3 linked regions of the Callithrix jacchus genome follow. The protein of the gene in region 3 interacts with the protein of the main gene of each other region in a pairwise test. Links are inferred from orthologs where the notes say so. Each region holds a gene or a part of one and is shown on either strand. Other genes may lie near its edges.

Region 1 (8,180 bases), on a different chromosome or scaffold from region 3:
GAGTCTTGCTCTATTGCAAAGGCTGAAGTGCAATGGTGCTATCTCAGCTCACTGCAACCTCTGCCTCCCAGGCTCAAGTGATTCTCGTGCCTCCGCCTCCTAAGTAGCTGGGATCACAGGCATGTGCCCTCATACCCAGCTAATTTTTGTATTTTTAGTAGAGACAGGGTTTTGCCATGTTGGTCAGGCTGGTCTTGAACTCCTGGCCTCAAGTTATCTGCCTGGCTCAGCCTCCCAAAGTGCTGGGATTACAGGTGTGAGCGACCGCACCCGGCCAGATGTCCAGATTCTTTCTATTTCTGCCCTGCCATCCTCAGTGCTGGCTTTCTCCTCAGGATGCTAGCCAGGAGGTTGTGGCAGCTATGAATGTCACATCCAGGCATAAAAATTTCCACACAGAGAAATGGTCTCTTTCTGTAATGCTAAGAGGAGAAACATCTCAGAGTGTGCCCCCAACAACTGTCCTCTCATGTCTCATTGCTCACTGTTGGGTCATGTGTGCACTCCCGACAAAATCTGCATGGGCAGTGGGATTGGTCACTCCTCCAGATGGGATGGAGATCAGCATTATCCTAGCAGTGGACTAGTGGGGTATTATGGGCTGAATAGTGTTCCCCCTGCTAAATTCATCTGTTGAAGCCATAATTGAAGTGCCTCAAGATATGACTGTATTTGGAGACTGGACCTATACAGAAGGGATTGAGTTTAAAATGAGGCTGTTAGGGTGGGCTCTGATCCAATCTGACCGGGAGGCTGAGTGATCTGCCCTCCTCAGCCTCCCAGAATGCTGGGATTACAGGCATGAGCCACTGTGCCTGGCCTATATTTGACATTTTAAACTGGAAATGCTGGTGAGGTAAACAAGTGGAGATATCTAGTAGAAAGACAAAAATATAAGTTGGATTTCAAGAAATTTGGGAGCTCTCAGTGCTGATGCAGGCAACCAACACCATGAAAACAGAGATGATTTGTGGGAGAAAATTTTCATTTATGCAGAAAAGAGGCCTGATGGCTGTGGACACCTGTTGAATATTTCCATATTTGTGACTCCTGTGGGAGTCACAAATTCAGCATGTCCAAAATGGAATTAATCATCTTTCCACCAAACCTGTTTATCTTCTTGACTTCTGTAGCTGGGCACTGACCATTATCTTAGTCATCCTAGCTCGAAACCTTGGCTATCTTTGTCTCCTACCTTGACTTTTTACACAATGTTTCACCTATAGAAAATTCTGAAAATACACACACACACATACACACACACACACACACATGAGATATAATCATTGATAATGAAACTTTTGGATGTTGTGTAGTGTATTCTTCTGGTCATACGCCTATGCAAGTATAGATTTAATTTCCTTTGTATGTGACTCATACTCTACATGTTTAATCTTTTTATTGAAGTATAACAGTCATTCAGAATTGTACACAATCATAAGTCAGTGGCTTTTCATGTCATTAAATATTCTTTTGCAACACCAATTTAAAAAAGTTGCAAGGTATTCCACCATAGAAGTACCATCATTCAGTTAACTAATGCCTGTTATAGAACTTCTGGCTTTTTCTAGTTTCCTCATCTCTCCCTCAAAAATGCTGCAGAGATAATTTACCTATATTTAACATTTTTGTGCCTATTTTCAATTTTCCCTTAGAATAAAATTCTTAGGGAAAAATTTCTGGGACCAAGGCATATGCATATTGTAAAATATTTTTTTATTTTAGGATAGTTTTAGGTGTAGAGAAAAATTATGAAGATACTACAGTTTCTGTATAATCCACACAATTTCCCCTATTATTCACTCTTTTTTTTTTTGAGGAGTCTCGCTCTGTTGCCCAGGCTGGAGTGCAGTGGCTCTATCTCCGCTCATTGCAACTTCCACTTCCCTAGCTCAAGCTATTCTCCTGCCTCAGCCTCCCAAGTAGCTGGGATTACAGGCATATGTCACCAAACCCGGCTAATTTTTTGTATTTTTAGTAGAGAGGGGGTTTCTCCATGTTGGCAAGGCTGGTCTCTATCTCCCGACCTCAGTGATCTGCCCACCTCGGCCTCCCAAAGTGCTGGGATTATAGGCGTGAGCCATCGCGCCTGGCCCAATACATTATTATAGTTGATACTTTATCCAGTTTTCCTTAGTTTTTACCTAATGTTCTTTTTTAAATTGCAGTGTCACAGCCAGGATACCATATTACATTGTCATGTCTCCTTAGGCTCCTCCTGGCTCTGAGTTTCTCAGACTTTCCTTGCTTTTGCTGACCTTAACCATTTTGATGAATACTGATCATGCACTCTGCAGAATGTCCCTCAATTCAGGTTTGTCTGATTTTTCTTTTCTTTTCTTTTTTTTTGAGATGGAGTTTCGTTCTTGTTACCCAGGCTGGAGTGCAATGGCACGATCTCGCTCACCGCAACCTCCACCTCCTGCGTTCAGGCAATTCTCCTGCCTCAGCCTCCTGAGTAGCTGGGATTACAGCCACGTGCCACCATGCCCAGCTAATTTTTTGTATTTTTAGTAGAGACGGGGTTTCACCATGTTGACCAGGATGGTCTCGATCTCTTGACCTCGTGATCCACCCGCCTCGGCCTCCCAAAGTGCTGGGATTACAGGTGTGAGCCACCACGCCTGGCCTGATTTTTCTTTTCTTATAATTAGACTGGGGTTATGAGATATGGAAGGACACTATCATAAAGTGCCATTCTCATTACATATCATTCCACATACTATCAACATGATTTAGCACGTACTCTTGGTCACCTGGCTGAATTACTGTTTGCCAGGTATCCACTGTAAAATTACTCACTTTCCCCTTTTCATATGTTGTACTTTTGGGAAAGAAGTCAATATGCAGAGCCCACATTTAAGGAGGTGGAATTTATGCTCCAGGATGGTGTGTCTGCATACTTTGAGATTCTTCTGTGGGGGATTTGTTTCTTCTCCAATCTTTAATTCATTCAGTCGTTTATTTATATCGGTATGGATTCACGAATATTTCTTTTATACTTTGAGTTATAATCCAGTATCACTTGCTCAAGGCAGTTTGTAATGTTCTGAGTAACTCAGTGCAAAACAACCCCCCCAAAGGTTGTACCAGCTCACAGGGCAGATGTCATTAAGATCCATTTCCCCTCAACTTCGCACACCCTTTATAAAGGTCAGAAAGCAAGGGGGAAGCTGACAACCCTCCCTAGCGTCAATTTCTGGACGCCCCTAAGGAAGATGAGGCCAGCCTGCTGGAGTAGTTCCCAACACGGGCACCTCAGCCCCTGAGGCGCCCTTTCCCGGCCAGCCCCTATTCACCATCCTTCCTTGGTCCCTGCCCCATCTCCCGGCTTCCTGCAGCCCCGCCCACCTCAGGGCGGAAGTGGGTGTGGCCACGGGCGGAAGCACTGGGTCGGGGGCCCGCTCTTGCAGCCAGCCCCACCCACTCGCCGCCGCCCCACCCCTCCGGCCCAGAACGGAAATGAGGTCAGAGAGGGAAACCCCGGCGGTGAGAATCGGCCCAAAAAGCGGCGGCCGTTCGAGGTGGCTGCGGCAGCTGGTGAGGGGGTGGAGTGGGTTGAGAGTGTTGGGGTCCTGAGGGCTAGGGCCATAGGGGATCGGATCGCCAAGCAGCGGCTGAGCGGCTAAGGGCGTCTTGGGGCTGCGGCAGCCGGCCGGAGGGTGAGGGTGGTGGGGCCTTGCTTTTTCAGGGCCCATGTCCCTATCCCTGGGGGTGTGGGTCGGACAGTCTCCGGGGCCACAGCCCCCTTTTCCCCTTTCTTTCTGCCTCTTTGGGGCTGGCGGCAGCATGAGGGCTTGGGAAACGGGCCATGGTCGCTCCAGCCCTCAGGGACGGGCCGGGGCGTGGTGGAGAGTCCTTCGAAAACAGTTTTTCTCACATACGTGGCCATGTTGCGACCCCCGATCCCGGAGGGAGCTCAGTCGCTACGACTTCCATTTTGGCAGTTTCTGCTCTAGAATAGCCGAACCCCGTCCTTGGTGAGCCCAAATGAGAAGTTGTCTCCTGCCTCTCGCATCTCCTACTCCGCCCCTCACTTCCACCCTGCTCCTGCCTCTCTTCTTACTTGCTGTCCGCAACTACCAGTTCCTTCCTGTGCGTGACTCAGCCTCATCTCTACCCGGGTGCATGCCTGGTCGCCGAGTCCTCTCGAGAGTGTGCACTCGACTGGAGATGGAAGCCCTAGGGACCTTCTGTCACCTACTGTTCGAGTTGCAGGCTTTGATGCAGGAAAGGATTCTGCACAGGCATTCGACTACTGACTTCGTTCCCTGTTCAAGTTTGTGCTGTTCTGAGGTTTTTGTTTGTACTTTTGTTTTTGTATTTTTGTCGCCTGAGTTTTTAAAGCAGTAATTCTTTATTAGGGAAGTGGATTTAGGCATGCTGTTCCCACTTGTTTCTCTATTTTGGTCTTAGGGACAGTTGTCTCCCAAACCTCAATCATGGCATTTTTAACCAGCTCCCCCCCCCCCATTTTTTTTCTCCTCTTTTCACAGGTGTTGATAAATCACTTCTTATTGCTTAAAAGAACTTGGCCTTTTAAAAGTGTATGTGCCTTTGGACAGTTTGAGAAGCTTTGTTTGTATGGCAGTTTTGGAAGTAGGTGTCACCATTGCTCCTAAAGGTGTGGCAGATAAGCCAGAGGACTGTTTTCCTGCCTTTAAATTCATTGACGTAGGCACGGCATGAAAATAGTATTTAGAAAACGCTTTGCAAAGTGAAAACTGAATGAATGGAAATATGGTCAGAGTGGCACCACATAGAGTTTTAAGCTCTAGTTTTGATCTTGAAATACTTTGGGCACAGGGGCAACGAAAAAAGTGCTAAAAATTTAATATGTATTTAATTAGGTGCTGTACAAATTATATTAAACATTTCCCCTTAAGAGGGAATTTTGAAGATTGCTCCTACTGCTCTCGTTTCTTGAAATGTTTGCCTCTGAAGTGACTCCTGAAGTGTGATGTTTGGTTTGAGGATGGATAGAAAAATAAGAAATTTTGGAAAGCAGTTCGGCCAGAAATCTTAGAAACTTCAACTTATCCCTGTCATTTCAGCTGCTGTCGTATCATTTTTTTCCAGTGATTGTGTGGCACTGAAGCACATAAGTAGGATGAACATTTATTTTCTGAAGGATAGGAAAGGGGCTTAAAAATTGTTAATTACTCAGAAATATATGACATACTATATGAGGTTCTATACCTGGTAGCTTTCAGGTGGTAGTTGCTACCAGAATGGGTGCAAACTTAGTCTATTCTCCTTTCTGACTTCAAACCTGGGCACCACAATTTCTTGGATCACAAAAACTGCAGTCTTCTTTAAAGGGTGTCACTAAGTTGTCTTTCTGCCATGGCCATGGAAGGCAGTGACCCCAGGCCAAAGAGCAGTTTTTTATTCATTCTTAATACTCGTTGAGACTGTGTCCTGCTCTGTGTTTCCACAGCTCTGCTGTGATTTTGAAGTTGTGTGTTTTTCTACTCCTGTCTAATGACAATCTCTAATCTTTCTGGATCTCATCATTAGGTAATTCAGTGACACGTTTAATTGGGGAAAGAGAGACGGGTCTAGTTCCCCAAATTTGTTTTGGGTCCTGTCCCAGTTGTCATCTGGTGAGCAGGTTTTTGTGCTTAAGGATATGTTGACTTCAGTCATTTAACAAGGGACAGAACACCTATTTTTAGTGACTTAAGGAAGTGGTAGGAACAGAATCTAAGTGTAGCCAGATGAAAGGTTACTTACTTTGTTTAGGCAGGCGGAACTATGGACTACTATGATCTGTTTTATCAAATTATTCCAAAACAACAGATCCTTTCAGGCTCTCTTTTTCTTTTTCTTTTTTTCCCCTCTGAACTTCCTTTTGGGAGATGTGGCCTCATGGATGAGCTGGTACACGACTTAGCATCAGCCTTGGAGCAAACATCTGAGCAAAATAAGCTTGGTGAGCTGTGGGAGGAGATGGCCCTGAGTCCCCGGCAGCAGAGGCGGCAGCTTCGGAAACGCCGAGGTCGGAAGCGTCGTTCTGACTTCACTCACCTGGCAGAGCATACCTGCTGCTACAGCGAGGCCTCTGAGTCAAGTCTGGATGAGGCCACTAAGGACTGTCGAGAAGTGGCTCCTGTGACCAATTTTAGTGACTCTGATGACACAATGGTAGCCAAACGACACCCAGCTCTCAATGCCATTGTTAAGAGTAAGCAACATTCTTGGCATGAATCTGACTCCTTTACTGAAAATGCACCTTGTCGACCACTCAGACGCAGGCGGAAGGTGAAGCGAGTGACATCAGAGGTGGCTGCTAGCCTTCAGCAGAAGCTGAAGGTGTCAGATTGGAGCTATGAGAGAGGCTGCAGGTTCAAGTCTGCCAAGAAGCAACGTCTGTCCCGCTGGAAGGAGAATACTCCTTGGACCTCATCAGGCCATGGGTTGTGTGAATCAGCAGAAAATAGGACTTTCCTAAGCAAAACAGGAAGAAAAGAAAGGATGGAGTGTGAAACAGATGAACAAAAACAGGGCTCTGATGAGAACATGTCAGAATGGTGAGATCTCCCTTACTAAGTCAAAGATTTTCTTCGTTAATTTTACCCAAAGTGCACATCCGTAGTCTTATGGGCTCTACCTTCTTTCAAACCAGCCACCCTAGTATTGACTTTGAAGCCTTCCTTGAATCAATCAGTAGTTTAGCTTTTTAAGGTACCATTCATGAGTCTATTTCCTTCTGTCAGGAAGGAGACACAATTGTTTCTAAAAACTGTTTAAAACACATACCTCAAATGCACAACTAATAATTTTATGTAAAAAAAATTTGCTGCTTATTATGCCATGTAGTTTGTACATAAATATTGTTCTTTAGAACTCAGGTTTCAGCAGAGGCTGGTATGTGAGTCTGTGAGAGAGAAAATGCTAGTGCAAGGCATACCGAGTTTGTAAATGTTCTGTTAAGTTGCCTGTCCCCATTAAGAATCATGGCTTTAGATACTTTTTGGCTATAATTTTATTCTCTGCTACTTGTGGTTTGACTATATTGAGTTTATTTTTTTATGGCTGGCATTCAAGTCATCTGAACACGTGGTGGGCTTTGAAAATAACAGTGCCAAGTCCCATTAGTCTTCCATCAAATGTGATCAAGCCAGAAAAATTTGTCTCTAATGGGTGCATGTTTAAAAATGTAAGTGTAGTTTTGGTGACTTTTTATTTTTTACATCTCAGATAGTTCTAGGAACATTGATACTGATTATCTTTTTCTTAATAGTGAGGATTTGTTGGTGTTTTGTATGGGACAATTCTTTATGGTGCATTGCAGCGTATTTTAGCATCTCTGCATTGTTCACACCCCCTGTTCCTTTATGAACCCAGAAGCCTCTGGGGTGATCCCTAGGTGGGCTGAGTACAAGCATTTGACAACCAGTGTATTCTATTACTGTTAATATTAGTTGGCATTTGTTAAGCACTATGTGCCAGACACTGTACTATGGACTTAACATATACTATCTCTCTTTTTTTAACAGAGTCTCGCTCTATCACCCAGGCTGAAGTGCAGAGGTGCAAATTTGGCTCACTGCAACCTCTGCCTCCTGGGTTGAAGCAGTTCTCCTGTTTCAGCCTCCTGAGGAGCTGGGACTATAGGCATGGGCCACCTTGCCTGGCTAAGTTTTGTATTTTTAGTAGAGACGGGGTTTCGCCATGTTGGCCAGGCTGGTCTTGAACTCCTGACCTCGTGATCCACCCGCCTCGTCCTTCCAAAGTGCTAGGATTACAGGTGTGAGCCACTGTGCCCTGTTGGACTTAACATGTACTCCTATTTAATGTTCACAATTCCACTATATGGTGGACACCACTATTTATTTGTATTTATAGAAGGGAAGTTGAGGTTATAAGAGCTTAGATAATTTGCCTAAGGTCATCCAGTGCCAAAACTGAGCATCAAGCCCGATTCCAAAGTGCATTCTTAACTGCTAAATTGTGCTGCCCTTTAAGTCGTTTTGTCTCAATTTAACTTTCCCAGTTGCAGGACATATGACCTTCCTGAAACTTGTCTTAAAAACCAAGGTGTTAATCTTAGGAACTCTGAGGTGAGGCTGTGTCAGTAACAGGAAAAACTGTTTAGGTCTGTATGCCTGTACCTCTCATGGATGGTTTTTAATCCAGCTTTTAAACTTTTTCTTATTAACTTTATATTTGCCCCT
Region 2 (7,489 bases), on a different chromosome or scaffold from region 3:
ACCTTTATCTTTTGTAATGAACCTATATCAATTTTGAGCAGCCAAGAAATGAATCACCATTTGTCTGACTTTTACAAGTTAGGTACTTAGAATTGTAAGGCTGCTTCTCTCACATTAGAATGTAAAGTTCATGAGGAAAGATTTTTGTCTGTTTTGTCTGTTTTGTTCACAGCTCTATCTTGGCACCTAGAGCAGTGCCTGGCACAAGGTAGGCACTCAGTAATATGAATGAATACTATTGTGAGTAAATATTACAACAGATATAAATAAGGTCCGACAGTAAGTCATATGTACACTCAAATGAGTGTTTATTAAAGTAATCAACTAGCTAAGTGATGCATGCTCCCTTATTTCCATTGCTTAAGATAATTTTGAAACTCCACTTCCAGAATCACTATTATTTTAAAAGCCAAGTAAGAAACTTTATATTCCTTTAGCCCTATGTAATTTTGGACTCCAAAATATCAGTCAGCTCAAACAACTTCCCCTCCTTAGTCACCAGAAATTGTTTTAAGGGTAGAGGTGTCCACCACTGAAGGTCAGCTAAATACATGAACTCTGCATAAGAGCAAGTAGAAGAAAGCATAACTTCAACACCCCAGACCAATGGTCTGCTGACCACCACTGACTGCACCATAGCAAAGTTTGAGATAGATATGTAGGAGGATTACTTTTTAAATCATGTTAGAGGCCTTTTCAAGACTCCCGAAAAACATGACCCCCATTATCTGTCATTGTGTATGAATAGATTAAATGTTGTGATTTTATATAAATTTATAAATGAGCCTGATGTCATAAACCATACTTGAAATACCAAATATACTGATCTATTTTTAAAGGGTCTTATATATTCTTCCTAGTTAAATTCCTAATTTAATTTTGCAGGAATTTTATTTCCCGACGACCACTAAACAAAGGACATATTTTACCATAAGAATGTTTAACTGCATATATTCTACCACGGATATCAATCTTGCTGCTGGACATTTCAAGCACTTTTTCCTCAGAAATGTAGATTCGTTTTTATATACTATAAGTAGTGAGGTGAAAAAAATCAGTTTATTCAAGTGAGGGGACTATCAAACAATGTTAAATACTGATAAACCCAACACTGATTAACTTTTCTGAAAGAGGTTCAGAAATGATTGCATAATTACTTCCCAGCTAGTTCCTTTACGGACAAGCCCCGCTCAGTGCCTAACACATAATAGAAGCCTGATAAATATTTGTGGAATAAATAACAACTTTTTAATAAAATGAAAATACCTGATAATAATCATTTTAAAATAAGATACCAAATTACTTATTTTGGAGTTTAATGCCAATCATTCCATGTTTAAATCTTCAATAAAATACTTGCTTATGTTATGATTATTTTCTATATGTCTTTTCTCTTATTCATCAAGTCAAGCAACTTCTCCTATATCTATCCATCTATTTGCTCTTTATAAAAGCAGGTATTTACCTGTTTTCAGAAATCAATAAATCCTTTTGAAAACTTGACATTTATGGACTTCCTCCAAAAAACATACCATAGACACAGAAGTTTACACATAGATTCTAAAAAGGTATGGATCTCCTGAAGCATCTCCATAGACCCTTATGAGTAAGATCTTATGTTAAAAAGTTACATTTTATATTTCTTCATAGAAGATGTATTAGTCCATTTTCATGCTGCTGATAAAGACATACCCAAGACTGAGAAGAAAAAAAATTGTAATTGGACTTACAGTTCCACATGGCCGGGGAAGCTTCAGAATCATGGTGGGAGGCAAAAGGCACTTCTTACATGGCAGCAGCAAAAGAAAATGAGAAGGATGCAAAAGCAGAAGCCCCTGATAAAACCATCAGATCTCATGACACTTATTCACTACCATGAGAACAATATGGAGAAACCGTCCCCTTGATTCAAATTATCTCCCATTGGGTCCCTCCCATAACACGTGGGAATTTTGAGAGTACACATTCAAGATGAGATTTGGGTTGGGACACAGAGCAAAACCATATCAGAAGCATATTCATAATTTTATGAGTGTATCCAAGGTAAGCTATATGCACACAAGATTATTCAGTTAAATTATCTCATTGCATAATCTCTGTTAAGAGAGTCAATTTTGTGAACACATGCACTATTTTAGACTACTAGGACCTCACTGGCTCCCTGTGGTAATCATTTACTTAACAGTAAATTATCCACAGGCTAAGAAGTCAAATTTGATTATAACAAACTCTCTTAAGTGGTAGAGATAAGAAAGAAGCAAGAGACAGGCAAGCAAAAAACCCCAAAAAGCAGCTGGAAATAGGTGGGAAAGCAGGTGCTTAATAAAAGGGTGCCAGTTTATCAATGGGAAAGAGGTTAAAGACATACATAATCTACTTTAATCCTAGTAATTTAAAATAATTGACAGGGCTCAGTGGCTCACACCTGTGATCCCAGCACTTTGGGAGGCCAGGATGGGAGGAATGCGTAAAACCAGGAGTTTGAATACCTCCCTGGGCAACACAGGAGGACTCTGTTTCAACAAAAGAAAAAAAATTTAAAAAAAACAAACAAATCCAATATGGTGGCTTAAAAAAAAGAAAAAAATAATTAAAAAAAATAATGAAGGCAAGAGAGGATAAATATAAATCAGTGAAAAAAATATATAGGAACAATGGAATCTGTACAGAATATGAGCTCTGTCCCCTAGGAGCTACAGATAAAACAGAATTGTAGGTAAGCAATTGAAAAGATATTTAAAGGATAGGGAAGTCTTTAATTGAACTAATGAATTTCCAAAGTAATTGACATTATAAGAGAACCTGGATTTTTATTTCCAAAGACAAACCATACAAGCTGTAATTTGCAGATAAAAACTTACATAAAATTTCAAAGTGTATGAAGTTTAAAACTTCATAAAGTTTCACATTAAGGAGCGGAGGCTTCTTTCTCTCATCTCACAGAAACAAGTCTTGAAAATACTCATCGAATTCTTCTTCCCTATTTTTTAAAAAAAGCATACATATTAAGATCAATAGAGTAAAAAATTACTACATGACACATTATATAAGATTAATAAAATAAAATAAGTTAACATATTGGCTGATTCTGCTATATATCAATATATTCTCACTATTCAGCCATCAAATAATTCTTAGTTTCTAGAATAATCATAACTATACCCAGTTTAAAATAAAAATATTTCATATGTTGGTACCTCTCCCTAAATGTATTCCCCAAAATTTTGTTTTGAAATACTTGTGAAATGTCATTGCTTCTCTTTACTTTTTTGTCTTACTTTATCACTTCTTTGTTCATTCTCATTTTAAACTATAGTCTCCTCAATAAATACATTTTGAAAAACTATTTTTAAAGAAAAATGTAAGTTTAGGTTACATTGGGGAATAACTAAGGGGAGTTGGGTAAATCTGCTTAGGCTGTAGTTCTTTTACTACTCTGAGCATAGTAAATATATTATGTATTTGTAGCAGTAGATATTATTGTTTTATTTTTTTAAAACAAAAACTAGTATGACAGCAGTGTAGAAGTGTACTTCCCATGCAAGGGGCTCCATTGCATAGGTTTATGATAATCACAGTATCATGGAATAGGCTTCTCGGATACAGCCATCTCTGAAGAAATCCAAACAAGGACCAGAAGGTCATCTTTTAAAGTGAACTGATCAAAGATTTCTTTACCAGGAGGAAGCTGGACCTGTTGGCTGCTTATGACAATGGCTGGGAATACGCTCTAATCTTACCAGGCTAGGCAGTCCTGGGCATTAAACAGATCATCATAATGTTGTATTTTTTCATTAATAAAGCCACGATTATAGCTTCTAAACTGATTTAAAAGGTACATATCATCCAAAAGAAATTAGGCGGGTATGGCGGTGTGCACTTCTAGTCCCAGCTACTCAGGAGGCTGAGGCAGGAGAATTGCTTGAACCTGGGAGGTAGAGGTTGCAGTGAGCTGAGATTGCACCACTGCACTCCACCCTGGGTGACAGAAGGAGACTCTGTCTCTACCAAAAAAAAAAAAAAAAGGTATGTATTATCTATTAATATCAGCACTTACTGTGATTTTTCATCTGTCTCTGGTAATGGACCCTTCCAAAGTTCAGATTCCGAAGTATTTTCTTCCTTATCAGAGTTTCCTGTTAATTTAAAAGAGATGATTTTTAAAAAATGTATTATATTTAAAACACATTTTTAACTATTTACCAATACAATTAACTTTTTACTTAACTGAGCTTCAATTTTTATGGCTCTCCAGAAGTTTAATTCACTCTCACAGGTATGATAAATTCTTTTGAAACATATATAAATAAGCCAACCAGAGTCTCAGCAAAAAGGCCAAGGATTTTTAAGTCTCATGGAAATTCTCTAAGTTACACTGAGTTAAAGTAGCAATTCCAATATTAACTTTTGTAAGAGAATTATCTCTTGCAATATAGTTGTCTCTGATCTAGCTTCTTCTTTTTCATGGTTCTGCAGAAGACATGCAAGTTAAGACTTATACTTGTAGAGAACATGTTTACATTAGAATTAGCACCTTAAGAACTGAGCTAATATGTAAGACCAGCTAAATTATTTTTTTTTAATTGTCAGACATTTTAAAAAACCAGTGCTGATTACATAATTGGAAGAAGTCTGTTTCAGTGAAGAAACTGGCATTCTCACACATTGCTGGGAGTGAAAATTCTGTAAACCTACTTCTTGAGGAAAATCTGGCAATATAGATAAGTTTAAAACACATACCCTTTGACCAGCAATGCTGCTTTTGGGAATTTGATTATTGACATAGACAAATAAGCACCTCTGTTACATAAGCAAAGATGCACACGGTATAACAACAACAAAAAAATCCAACCTAAATTACCATGAAGTAGGGATTAAGGACTGGTTAAATACTATACAGCTGTTTAAAAATATCAGCATATCTGTATGTACTGCCATAGAAAAATGTCCATTCTATATTAAATTTTTTAAAAGTTACAAAAAGTATGAATAGTATAACATATGTTAAAAGTATATACATGTTATATACATACATGTAATTTTATATATGTATTATAAGTTTGCAAAAACCAACCAAACTTAACAGTGATTATACTACCTGTGGATTTGGAATACTTTTACTTTCTATTTTAAACATTTCTAAATTATTTGTATTTTAAACAAAGACCATGTATTACCTTCAAAATCAGTAAAAACAATATTTTATTTATAAAAACATAATAAAATGGAGATATTTCAAATAAATCACCTGTATTAGTCAACTAAAAATTTAAAAATACTGCAAAATTATCAGGCAATAACACCACATTCCACAAAGTAGTTAAATCAGCAAACAATTCCTCTCCAATAACGATTATTAGTCTAAAAAAGAAATGGTACGAATGTGGCCTGTCAATATAGAATGTCCTTTAGTTAAACACAACGTAAAAATAAAACAGCATTGATTTATTATGGTGGTTCTAGCCTTTTACCTGTTGGACTCTGAACCTTGAATCAACATGTGTCTGAACTTTGCTCCTAACTGAATCTATTCTGGCACCAATTCTAGCAAAAATAGCAAAAGGGGAGAGGGCATTTTGTATTCTAATGATCTACATACAAACGATAAAATTTCAATCTTGAAAACAAGATTCCAGGCTCAATGACAGCCATCACTGGAATGGCCAGTGTCCCAAATTTATAATATGAGGGGAAAAAGAATTAGAATCTTCTCTTATTTTTATGAAAACTCACTAATAAGAAAAACTAACTAGGCTAGTAAGGTTATTACTATGGTGTTACTCTGTTAATGATGCCAGAGAACAAAACCTACAAGGCCTTTAGAAGTGGACAGCTAATTTCAAAAGGATTGACTCTGTTTTCTTATTCTCTTCCAAGAGTACTCCCCACATGCCAGCTTTCTTACACCAGTTTTCTGATATCAGTCAATCAATTTTACTAAAAAAATAAAGTCAGTTTAGAGTAACACTATAAAATAACTGTCTTTAAAAATACCCACTAAAAATGTGGCCAGATATCCCTAGAGAATCAAGTCTACAAGACTGGACTAAATGACCTTTACGGTCCCTTATAACCCTATGAATCTACAGTATCCTGGTTCCCTGAAGGTTGGCAGTCACTACAAATCATTGCTATCATAACTGTTACAACCTACCAGAAGCGGGACAGGTATTATAAGGAAAGAACAACTGGAAGAACAGGCAACACAAAAGAATGCATCACTGGCAAATCTATTCAGTACTTATTGGGAAGTAGTGATCAGAATTTAAGTCACTGACTCTGAGTTGAAAGGGGAAACCCAGAGGTAATTTAATCCAACACTTAGCCAATGAATGAACCTCTCACTGCAACACCTCCAATAACAAGTGGCAATCCAATCCATGCTTGAACACTCACTACTCCAGAGGTAGCCCATTTCTCCATTCCTTTTGTCAGACAGTTCTAAAGGACAAGTTTTTCCTTAAATTAATGCAAAAGTCTGTCTTTGAGCAGTTCTGCCAACTCAGAGTCGTAAAAAATAAGTCTCCTACGTAGTAGCAGCCTTGCAAATGTCCAGACAGTAATTTCCATGTCTACTTCCTCACCTCTTCCTTCCCTTCCCTTCACTCGTCTCCCAGGTCAACTTCTGCAGTTCCTCCAACATTCTCCCTAAACACAATTTCAAGTTCTCTCAATACCTCCGTTTTTTTCTTCTTGATCTGCTTCAAGTTTTCAATGTTCCTTTAGAATGTGGTGCCTAAGACTGCATACAATTTTCCCTGTATATTTTGAATAATGAAAGCAGGCCTATCATCTTGGCTTCTGTGGCTATTACAAGAAAACTAATAACTTGCCCTACTGAAGAAATGGCAAATGTTTCCAATAATCATGATAACAAATGGACAGGTCAGATTTTTATAGACTTAACTTTTCATTTCATCAATTCTAGAGAACAAACACAGGATTTATATCTCTGTATTTTTCTTTTCTGATAATAACAGCTACGGGTTATCAAGGACTTACTTTGTGTCAGCACATACTTTACATGTATGTTTTCTCATTCAATTCTGATAATAATCCAACAAAGTAGGTCTCTTTATACCCATTTTACAGACAGAAGTGAGGCATAGATCAAATCATTTAATGTGGATCTGTATAATGCATACGCCAAAACTAGGGTATAAAGAATAGACAGACAGTTGATTTCACTGATGAACAACTGATTGATGATGCAGATAAAGGGCATAGACTTTGGAATTATAAACTTATGTTTAATCCCAGCTCTGTCATCAACTACTTGACCTTGGACATTTTACTTCAATTCTCCGGTTCTTGGGAGATGTCATGTGCATGGTGACTACAGACAACAATACTTGAAATTTGTTAAGAGGGCAGCAAATCATCAGTATACTTTAAATATATGCATTTTTAAAAATTAAGTTTCTTCATTCATTTAAAAACATTCTCTAGGTCTTGATTTTTCTCATCTACAAAATGAGAATATTATATG
Region 3 (7,660 bases):
GTGAAGTCAGGGGTTTGAGACCAGCGTGGCCAACATGGTGAAATCCTGTCTCTACTAAAAATACAAAATTAGCCAGACGTGGTGGTATGCCACTGTCATCCCAGCTGTTTGGGAGGCTGAGGCAAGAGAATCCCTTGAACCCGGGAGGCGGAGATTGCAGTAAGCCAGGAGCATGCCACTGTACTCCAGCCTGGGCAACACAGCAAGATTCTGTCTCAAAAAAAAAAAAAAAAAAAAAAACTATTTGAATTTGTGCTTATGAATTTTGGTTTTGGCAACAATTTAGGGGCCAGGCACGATGGTTCATGCCTGTTACCCGGTACTTTGGGAGACAGAGGTAGGCAGTTCAAGACCAGCCTGGCCAACATGGTGAAACCCCATCTCTACTAAAAATACAAAAATTAGCCGGATGTAGTTGCAGGCACCTTTAATCCAAGCTACTTGGGAGGCTGAGGCAGGAGAATCTCTTGAACCCAGTAGATGGAAGTCACAGTGCGTGGAGATGAAGTCACAGTGAGCCAAGATGGCACTGCTGCACTCCAGTCTTGGCGATAGAGCAAGACTCTGTCTCAAAATAAAGAAACACTAAGTGGTAAATTTAAGCATTATAAATTCTGAACGAATGGAGAAATTATTGACTACTGTAGAAAAGTAGGAAGTTAGAAGGCCAAATTTTGTATAGTTTATGCTGTTTTCATGTTATGAGTTGACTAATTCCATTATTGCTGTAATTTTGTCTCTAACCACTTATTCTGTGCAACAACTGCCGTTTGTCCTCTGGCTTGGTAACCTCTTTAGTTCAGGGGTCATTATCAGGATGTCACTGGCAGCTTAAGCTATAAGTAGCAAATATTAGATAGGTAACATTTACTGGTCTTTTGCTACATGCCAGGCACTGCACTAAGTGTACTATCCTTGAGGTATGTTCTCTTCTTATTTGAAGCTGAGGAAACTGAAAGTATGGCTTGCCTGAGGTCACTTCATTTCACTCTGGTCATGGGAGTGTAGGCTTGGACTCTCCTACCCTATATTATCTCTCAAAGAAAATGAGAGAGAAAGGCTAGTAGAAAACATAAAAAAGGAAAGAACAAATAGGTAGGGCTTATTCCACTCTTTCTGGGCTAACAGCTCTTTATTTTTATTAATTAATTTATTTTGTTTTAAAATTTTTTGAGATAGAGTCTTGCTCTGTCGCCTAGGCTGGAGTGCAATGGCGAGATCTCAGCTCACTGCAACCTCTGCCTCCCGGGTTCAAGGGATTTCTCCTGCCTCAGCCTCCTGAGTAGCTGGGACTACAGGCATAAGCCACCATGCCTGGCTAATTTTTTAAATATTTTTAGTAGAGATGGGGTTTCACTGTGTTGGCCAGGATGGTCCTGATCTCCTGACTTTGTGATCCACCTGCCTTAGCCTCCCAAAGTGCTGGGATTACAGGTGTGAGCCACCGCACCCAGCCCAGCTAAAAGCCCCTTAAAGAAAAAGATTTGACTACAAATTGTGGAAACACAGAGCTCATGTGCCAATTGGCTGTGACAGTTACAGCCTTTGGAAGAGGGGTTTTGTTTTTGTGTCCCATTTAGCAAGCAAGTAAGTGAGCAGGAGAGAAAACAGATGAGCAGAAGCACAGAAATTGAAATAAGTAAAGTGTGGGGAGGGACTCCATAGTGTCCTGGAGGAGGCACACCTGTCAATTATTGGTGCCCTGTGAAGTAATGTATTAGATGTTTCTTGGGATCACAGGGAAGTTGGGTATGGGGAGGATCAGGGCCATTTTCAGGGAGTTGTGTTTCAAAGGAAGAATACCTTGGGCCAAGTAGAGAAAGGCAGTCTCAGACAGAGGAAATAGCATGGAAAGATAATCAGGAAATGACAAGTAATTTTATATAGCCAAACCTCTTAAGAGTCTGTGTGGAAGGCGTTGAGTGTAGAGGTGAGGCTAGAAGTTTGGGATCGATGTTTTGGAAGTTGGTAGAGAACCGTGGAAGGGTTTTTAGCATAGGCAGAAAATCATTAGAAAAGTATTTAAGAGAAAAGGTCTGGGGAGGATTGCCTGTGAAGGGGGCAGGGACCAAAGGTAAGAGTACTCATGGAGAGACTGATGTAGGGCTCAAGCTACTTCCCCCTCAGCTGTGAGTCTGGGGGCTCTCTAGTTTTGAGGCTCCTAGCTTTAGAGAATACACAGGGCCTCTACAAACTTGCACAGAGGGGATTGGAGGCTTTTGTCACCTGAAAGAAGAAAGTGGAGGAAGGAATATGATACTTGACACCCATTGAGTGGGTAGGGATCAGGCTTTGGGGCCCAACTTGCTGTAGGGAGGATTGCAGAGGTCAGCTCTAAAGGGGCAGGTGCCTCTCCCAGCCCCCACTTTTCTATTTCCTCAGGCCAAACTGCAGGGGCACCTGGAACCACTGAGGAAGCACCTGGAGGCTGTGCAGAAGATGAAGGCCAGGGAGGAGAGGCGAGTGACAGAGCTGAAAGTGAGTGAATGCCCTTGACGGGCTGATGGGTACTGTCTGTGGTCAAGGCAAGGAAGGTGGTGCTGCCCATCTCACAAGTGGTGACTTGGTCCCCTGAGGAGGGGACAGCCAATGCCTGGGAGAGGGGTAGATTCTTTTCCTAGGTACTGAGGAGAGGTGGCTTAGAGAATCCGTAGGCATGTCCATTCTTGAGTTCCAAAATGGAGTGGAAACTGAGGCCTGGATTGAAGGGGCTGGGTCTCTGGCCTAAGGCTGCAGAACAGGCTTTCTACCCAGACACCAGAGCTTGAAGTGGGCAAAGCAAAACCCACACAGCAGCCAACAGAGAAGCTGCTGGCCCCAGGATCAATGCAGTCAGTGGGCAGAGAAGCCCTGAGATGAGCCTGACACGGTCTTGGGACACTTGCTGTGTCCCGGGAAGGGACCAGTGTGTTTAAGCTGGGGCAGGAATTAGTGTATGTTAGCATTGCAGAGACCGAATATTTCCTAGTCCAGTGTTTTCTCAGAACCCCCCCACCCTTTTTTTTTTTTTTTTAAAATTATTGCTCACCCTTCTCCAAGGAGTCTTAAGATATTTCTCCATTCCCCACCCCCGGCCTGTTTTCATAAACCCAGCGGGCCCTGCTGGAGTGGGCTGGAACTATGAGCTTCATAGACCAAGCCAAGACCTCCCCTTCTGTCCCTCTTCCTTTCCCTTCCCAGCCAGTGCCTGAGCCTTGCCACTGCCCGGGGCCCATGCTCACTGCCACCTAAACATTAGGGACTGCTGCTGGCAGCTGCTAGGCAGTGAATGTTAGAATCCGTCTGGGAGTAGGACATCATCTTGCTTCTGGCCAGCTGCCCAAGTTGATACTTTTGGGCTTTACTGGGTATAGAGGTAACAGGATTTGTGTGCCCCTGGGGTAGAGTGAAACTGACTGTGGCGGCTATTCCCCTCACGCATCTAGTCAGTTAGGACCCTACTCTGGCCTGTTACTCACAGTGTCTCCAGCTGATGGTAACTGGGTGAAAAGTATGTCCACCACCCAGGATGGCCCATTCTTGGCAAATGGGGTGGAACTGGGCAGGAGATTTTTCTTTTACAGGATATTAGGTATCTACATTATATCCTTGATTTTTGCCTCTTAGCCCACAAAGCATAAAAATATTTACTATCTGGACCTTTACAGAAAAAGTTTTTCAGAGTCCTGTCTAGGGCTTTTGGGTGACTTTCTTAAAGTCACTGTGTTTAATGGTAGAGTCAGGACCCTAACTTCATGTCTTGATTCCTGAATTCTTTTATTCATTTAAAAAAATTTTTACCAAGTGCCTACTCCGGTTGGTGCCATGTCAGGGTCTGAGGGCACTGTGGCAAACTAAAGACATTCTTAGTCCCTGCCAGTGAGAGCTTATGGTACAGTGGGGCAAAGGATGTTAAAGGATATGTCATTGTAAACACAATATTTGTGTGTGTGTGTTTGTGTGTGTGTGTGTGTGTGGTGTGGTGTGTGTGACAGTTTTGCTCTGTCGCCCAGGCTAGAGTGCAGTGGCAGCATGATCTCAGCTCACTGCAACCTCCTCCTCCCAAGCTCAAGCAACTCTCCTGCCTCGGCCTCCTGAGTAGCCAGCACTACAGGCGCATGCCACCATACCCAGCTAATTTTTTGTATTTTTGGTAGAGACAGGGTTTCCCTGTGTTAGCCAGGATGGTCTCAATCTCCTGACCTCATGATCTGCCCACCTTAGTCTTCCAGAGTGCTGGGATTACAGGCATGAGCCACTGCGCCTGGCCCAACGTTTCAATATTATGTGTGCCACAAAGAGAAAACAGTGATATTTGTGGGGATGGTCCTGATTTAGATCTAGAGAAGATATTTGTGGGGATGGTCCCGATTTAGATCTAGAGAAGAGGAAAGGCTTCTCTTGGAATATTTAAGGTTGGACCTGAAGGATGAGTCAAGTTAGACCATGTGGAGAGGAGTGTTCCAGGCAGAGGTTGGTGAGTTTGGGACCAGTGTGCTGGAAGCAAGGGGGTGGCATCTGGTAAGGCTGAGAAGTAAGTCTGGTAGGAAATAAACCTCTTTTTAGGACTTTCTTCGACCTGGGGAGTATAGGGCTCTTTGCCTTGCCTTGTGAAGTGGTAGTTGTAAAACTGGAGGTTATCTTCTTATGTGTTGAGGTGGCATCTACCATCCCCTTTGCACCATTCCAGAGCCAGATGAAGTCAGAGCTAGCAGCAGTGGCCTCAGAGTTTGGGCGGCTGACACGGTTTCTGGCTGAAGAGCAGGCAGGGCTGGAACGGCGTCTCCGAGAGATGCATGAAGCCCAGCTGGGACGTGCGGGAGCCGCAGCCAGTCGCCTTGCAGAGCAGGCCGCCCAGCTCAGCCGCCTGCTGGCCGAGGCCCAGGAGCGGAGCCAGCAGGGGGGTCTCCGGCTGCTCCAGGTAAGCACTGTCCACTCCTTGTTCCCCTAGCATTCTTTGTTGGCTGTCAGGCAGTGCTTACCAAACACCTGTCCAGAGCTGCTGCTTCTCACTGGGAGGAACCCACAATGATTTAACCTGAAGACCAAAAACATTTTTTAAAGCTCGAGATAGAGTTAATGTCGAATGTGGTATGTGTGATGATTATACCCAGTGAAAAACAGAAAGATTCGGTTGTAGGAGAGGTTTAAATGACAGTTGAGGAAAGGATTTTTGACAGTGACTTCCCAAAAAAGGAGAGCAAGTCATATTATGGAAAGGACAGTATTCCTGGGCTTACAGCAGGAAGAGACGAGTTAGGTATGGTGAGGCATGGGGTGGTTGAAATGATGTGTGTCTATTGAGGCCGTGAAGGTGCTGCTTCTCCCTTCCTGCTCAGGTTCAGTCTCTGGCTAGAGATTGGGGAAAGCTGTCCCTATGCAGCTGACACTCTCTTTCTTTCTCCCTCTCCCTCTTTTTGTTTCTCTTATTCCCAGGACATCAAGGAGACTTTCAATAGGTGTGTTCCCACTCTTTACCCTTTGTGACCCAGTGGAATCTGGTTCCCTGTCCCTGCCTCTCTTGGGTATCCCTTTCCTCTCCTTCCTTCCCTAGGACCTGAGTTTCTACCTCCTGGACCCTCCTCTCCTTCCCCTCAGCTTTTGTTCTTCCCTCTGGGAATATCATAGTCCCACCCCCTGCCCGGTCCCCTTCCTCCAGGTGTGAAGAGGTACAGCTGCAGCCCCCAGAGGTCTGGTCCCCTGACCCGTGCCAACCCCATAGCCATGACTTCTTGACAGACGCCATCGTGAGGAAAATGAGCCGGATGTTCTGTCAGGCTGCGAGAGGTAGGGAGGTCACCTCCACGACCTTCCTTTGCCTTTCCCTTCATAGACCCTAGATTGGGTCCTGAGGGAAGTTGAGCCCCAGGGAAATTGTGGGGGTTGAGACGGAGCAGGATATAACCTCAGAGGTTGAGGTTTCAAACCATGAGCAGGTAGTCCTAGTCCAGGCAGGCCTGGTGGGTGGGGGTGGGGTGGAGTGGCAAGAAGAGCTGGGGCTAGGGGAAGACCTGTAGGTATCCTGGGAAGAGGAGCAAGATGGAACCTGGTGGAATCTGAGGCTGGCCTCTAGGATGGTGTGGGGAGCTAGATTCAGGAAGGAGGCAGGAAAGGCCAAATCTGTGGAGTTGGCTGCTGAAAGGGGAACAGTTGTTCTAGCTCTGGCATATTTGTCCTCCCCCCCCCCCAAGTGGACCTGACGCTGGACCCTGACACGGCTCACCCGGCCCTGATGCTGTCCCCTGATCGCCGGGGGGTCCGCCTGGCAGAGCGGCGGCAGGAGGTTGCTGACCATCCCAAGCGCTTCTCGGCCGACTGCTGTGTACTAGGGGCTCAGGGTTTCCGCTCTGGCCGGCACTACTGGGAGGTAGAGGTGGGCGGGCGGCGGGGCTGGGCGGTGGGTGCTGCCCGTGAATCAACCCATCATAAGGAAAAGGTTGGCCCTGGGGGGTCCTCCATGGGCAGCGGGGATGCCAGTTCCTCGCGCCATCACCATCGCCGTCGCCGGCTCCACCTACCCCAGCAGCCCCTGCTCCAGCGGGAAGTGTGGTGTGTGGGCACCAATGGCAAACGCTACCAGGCCCAGAGCTCAACAGAACAGACACTGCTGAGCCCGAGTGAGAAACCACGGCGCTTTGGTGTGTACTTGGACTATGAAGCTGGGCGCCTGGGCTTCTACAACGCAGAGACTCTAGCCCACGTGCACACCTTTTCGGCTGCATTCCTGGGTGAGCGTGTCTTTCCTTTCTTCCGGGTGCTCTCCAAGGGCACCCGCATCAAGCTCTGCCCTTGATCATCCTGCCACCCGCAGGGGCCCCTCTGGTCAGCACTTGGGGGGCGGGTGGTGGAGGAGGGTGGCCCATAAGTTGGAGGGCTCAAAGGCTCTTCCCACTGTTTAGTGTTGCTTCCCACTCCCCCTTGACCCCAGGCCCCTGCTTCTACCTCTAGGAGCCTAAAGAACCCTCCTGGCCTCCAGCTAAGCCTTCTCTCACCTACTATGTCTGTCCACCAGGTCTGCATGGGTCCCTGGTAATGAGAACAGCTGCCTGGTCTTCTCTCCCTGTCTGCCTAGCCCAGCCCTGGGACCTGAATTTGAGTAGGGGTTGAGGGGAAATTGCAATTTCATTCCTTAACTTCCTTTTCCTCATCCATGCCCTTCAACCTTTACATCAGTTCTGAGGCTGGAGGATTTGGGTGAGACAGCGTCCCCATTCCAGTTCCATTTTCTGATGCAAATTTTAGCTGAGGGATTTGGAAGCCATTTGGGGAGGGAGGCAAACTTTCCTTCCGTCCTCAATTTCTACCTCCATAGACCAGCCAGAATTTAGCTTCACTTGAGAGATCTGGAATGGTCGCCATGATTCAAACACGTACCATTACATCGCCCAATAAATTATTTCTTCCCGTTTCCCTTCTCCAGCACTCAATTGAGAAACAAAGCTTATGCCACCTCACCCCCCATCCAGGTCTATTCAGTGCCAGGCTCCTTTCCCCTTTGTTCAACAGACCTGGCTTCCAATTCCTTTCCATATCTTTAATTCCCTCCATTTGGCAAGCCCTGAGGAGAAGCCTGAAGACAGGGGTCTGGGTCCCCAAGAGGAGAGTCTTGGGTATAATCTATTTTTCTAGTAACGCCTTGCCTTGTCACTTATCAGCTTTTGCCCTCTGCTTTGATGGCTGA

What was found.
Region 1: the proteins of TRIM41 (region 3) and GPATCH2L interact in binary tests that used the Homo sapiens proteins (3 or more experiments, as listed by UniProt). The two-hybrid records come from large-scale screens. The link is inferred for Callithrix jacchus from reciprocal best matches to the Homo sapiens genes TRIM41 and GPATCH2L.
Region 2: the proteins of TRIM41 (region 3) and FRA10AC1 interact in binary tests that used the Homo sapiens proteins (3 or more experiments, as listed by UniProt). The two-hybrid records come from large-scale screens. The link is inferred for Callithrix jacchus from reciprocal best matches to the Homo sapiens genes TRIM41 and FRA10AC1.

Annotation. Positions count from the first base shown.
Region 1 is NC_133509.1:111,079,011-111,087,190, forward strand, and holds the start of GPATCH2L (G patch domain-containing protein 2-like), read left to right. Parts: upstream 1-3,470; 5' UTR 3,471-3,540; intron 3,541-5,861; 5' UTR 5,862-5,871; coding exon 5,872-6,533; intron 6,534-8,180.
Region 2 is NC_133513.1:86,404,471-86,411,959, forward strand, and holds the end of FRA10AC1 (protein FRA10AC1), read right to left. Parts: intron 4,137-7,489; coding exon 4,058-4,136; intron 2,981-4,057; coding exon 2,938-2,980; coding exon of another isoform or gene 2,904-2,937; 3' UTR 2,785-2,903; downstream 1-2,784. UniProt on the Homo sapiens protein: May be involved in pre-mRNA splicing.
Region 3 is NC_133503.1:73,617,050-73,624,709, reverse strand, and holds the end of TRIM41 (E3 ubiquitin-protein ligase TRIM41), read left to right. Parts: intron 1-2,382; coding exon 2,383-2,478; intron 2,479-4,669; coding exon 4,670-4,900; intron 4,901-5,415; coding exon 5,416-5,438; intron 5,439-5,638; coding exon 5,639-5,766; intron 5,767-6,170; coding exon 6,171-6,772; 3' UTR 6,773-6,921; downstream 6,922-7,660.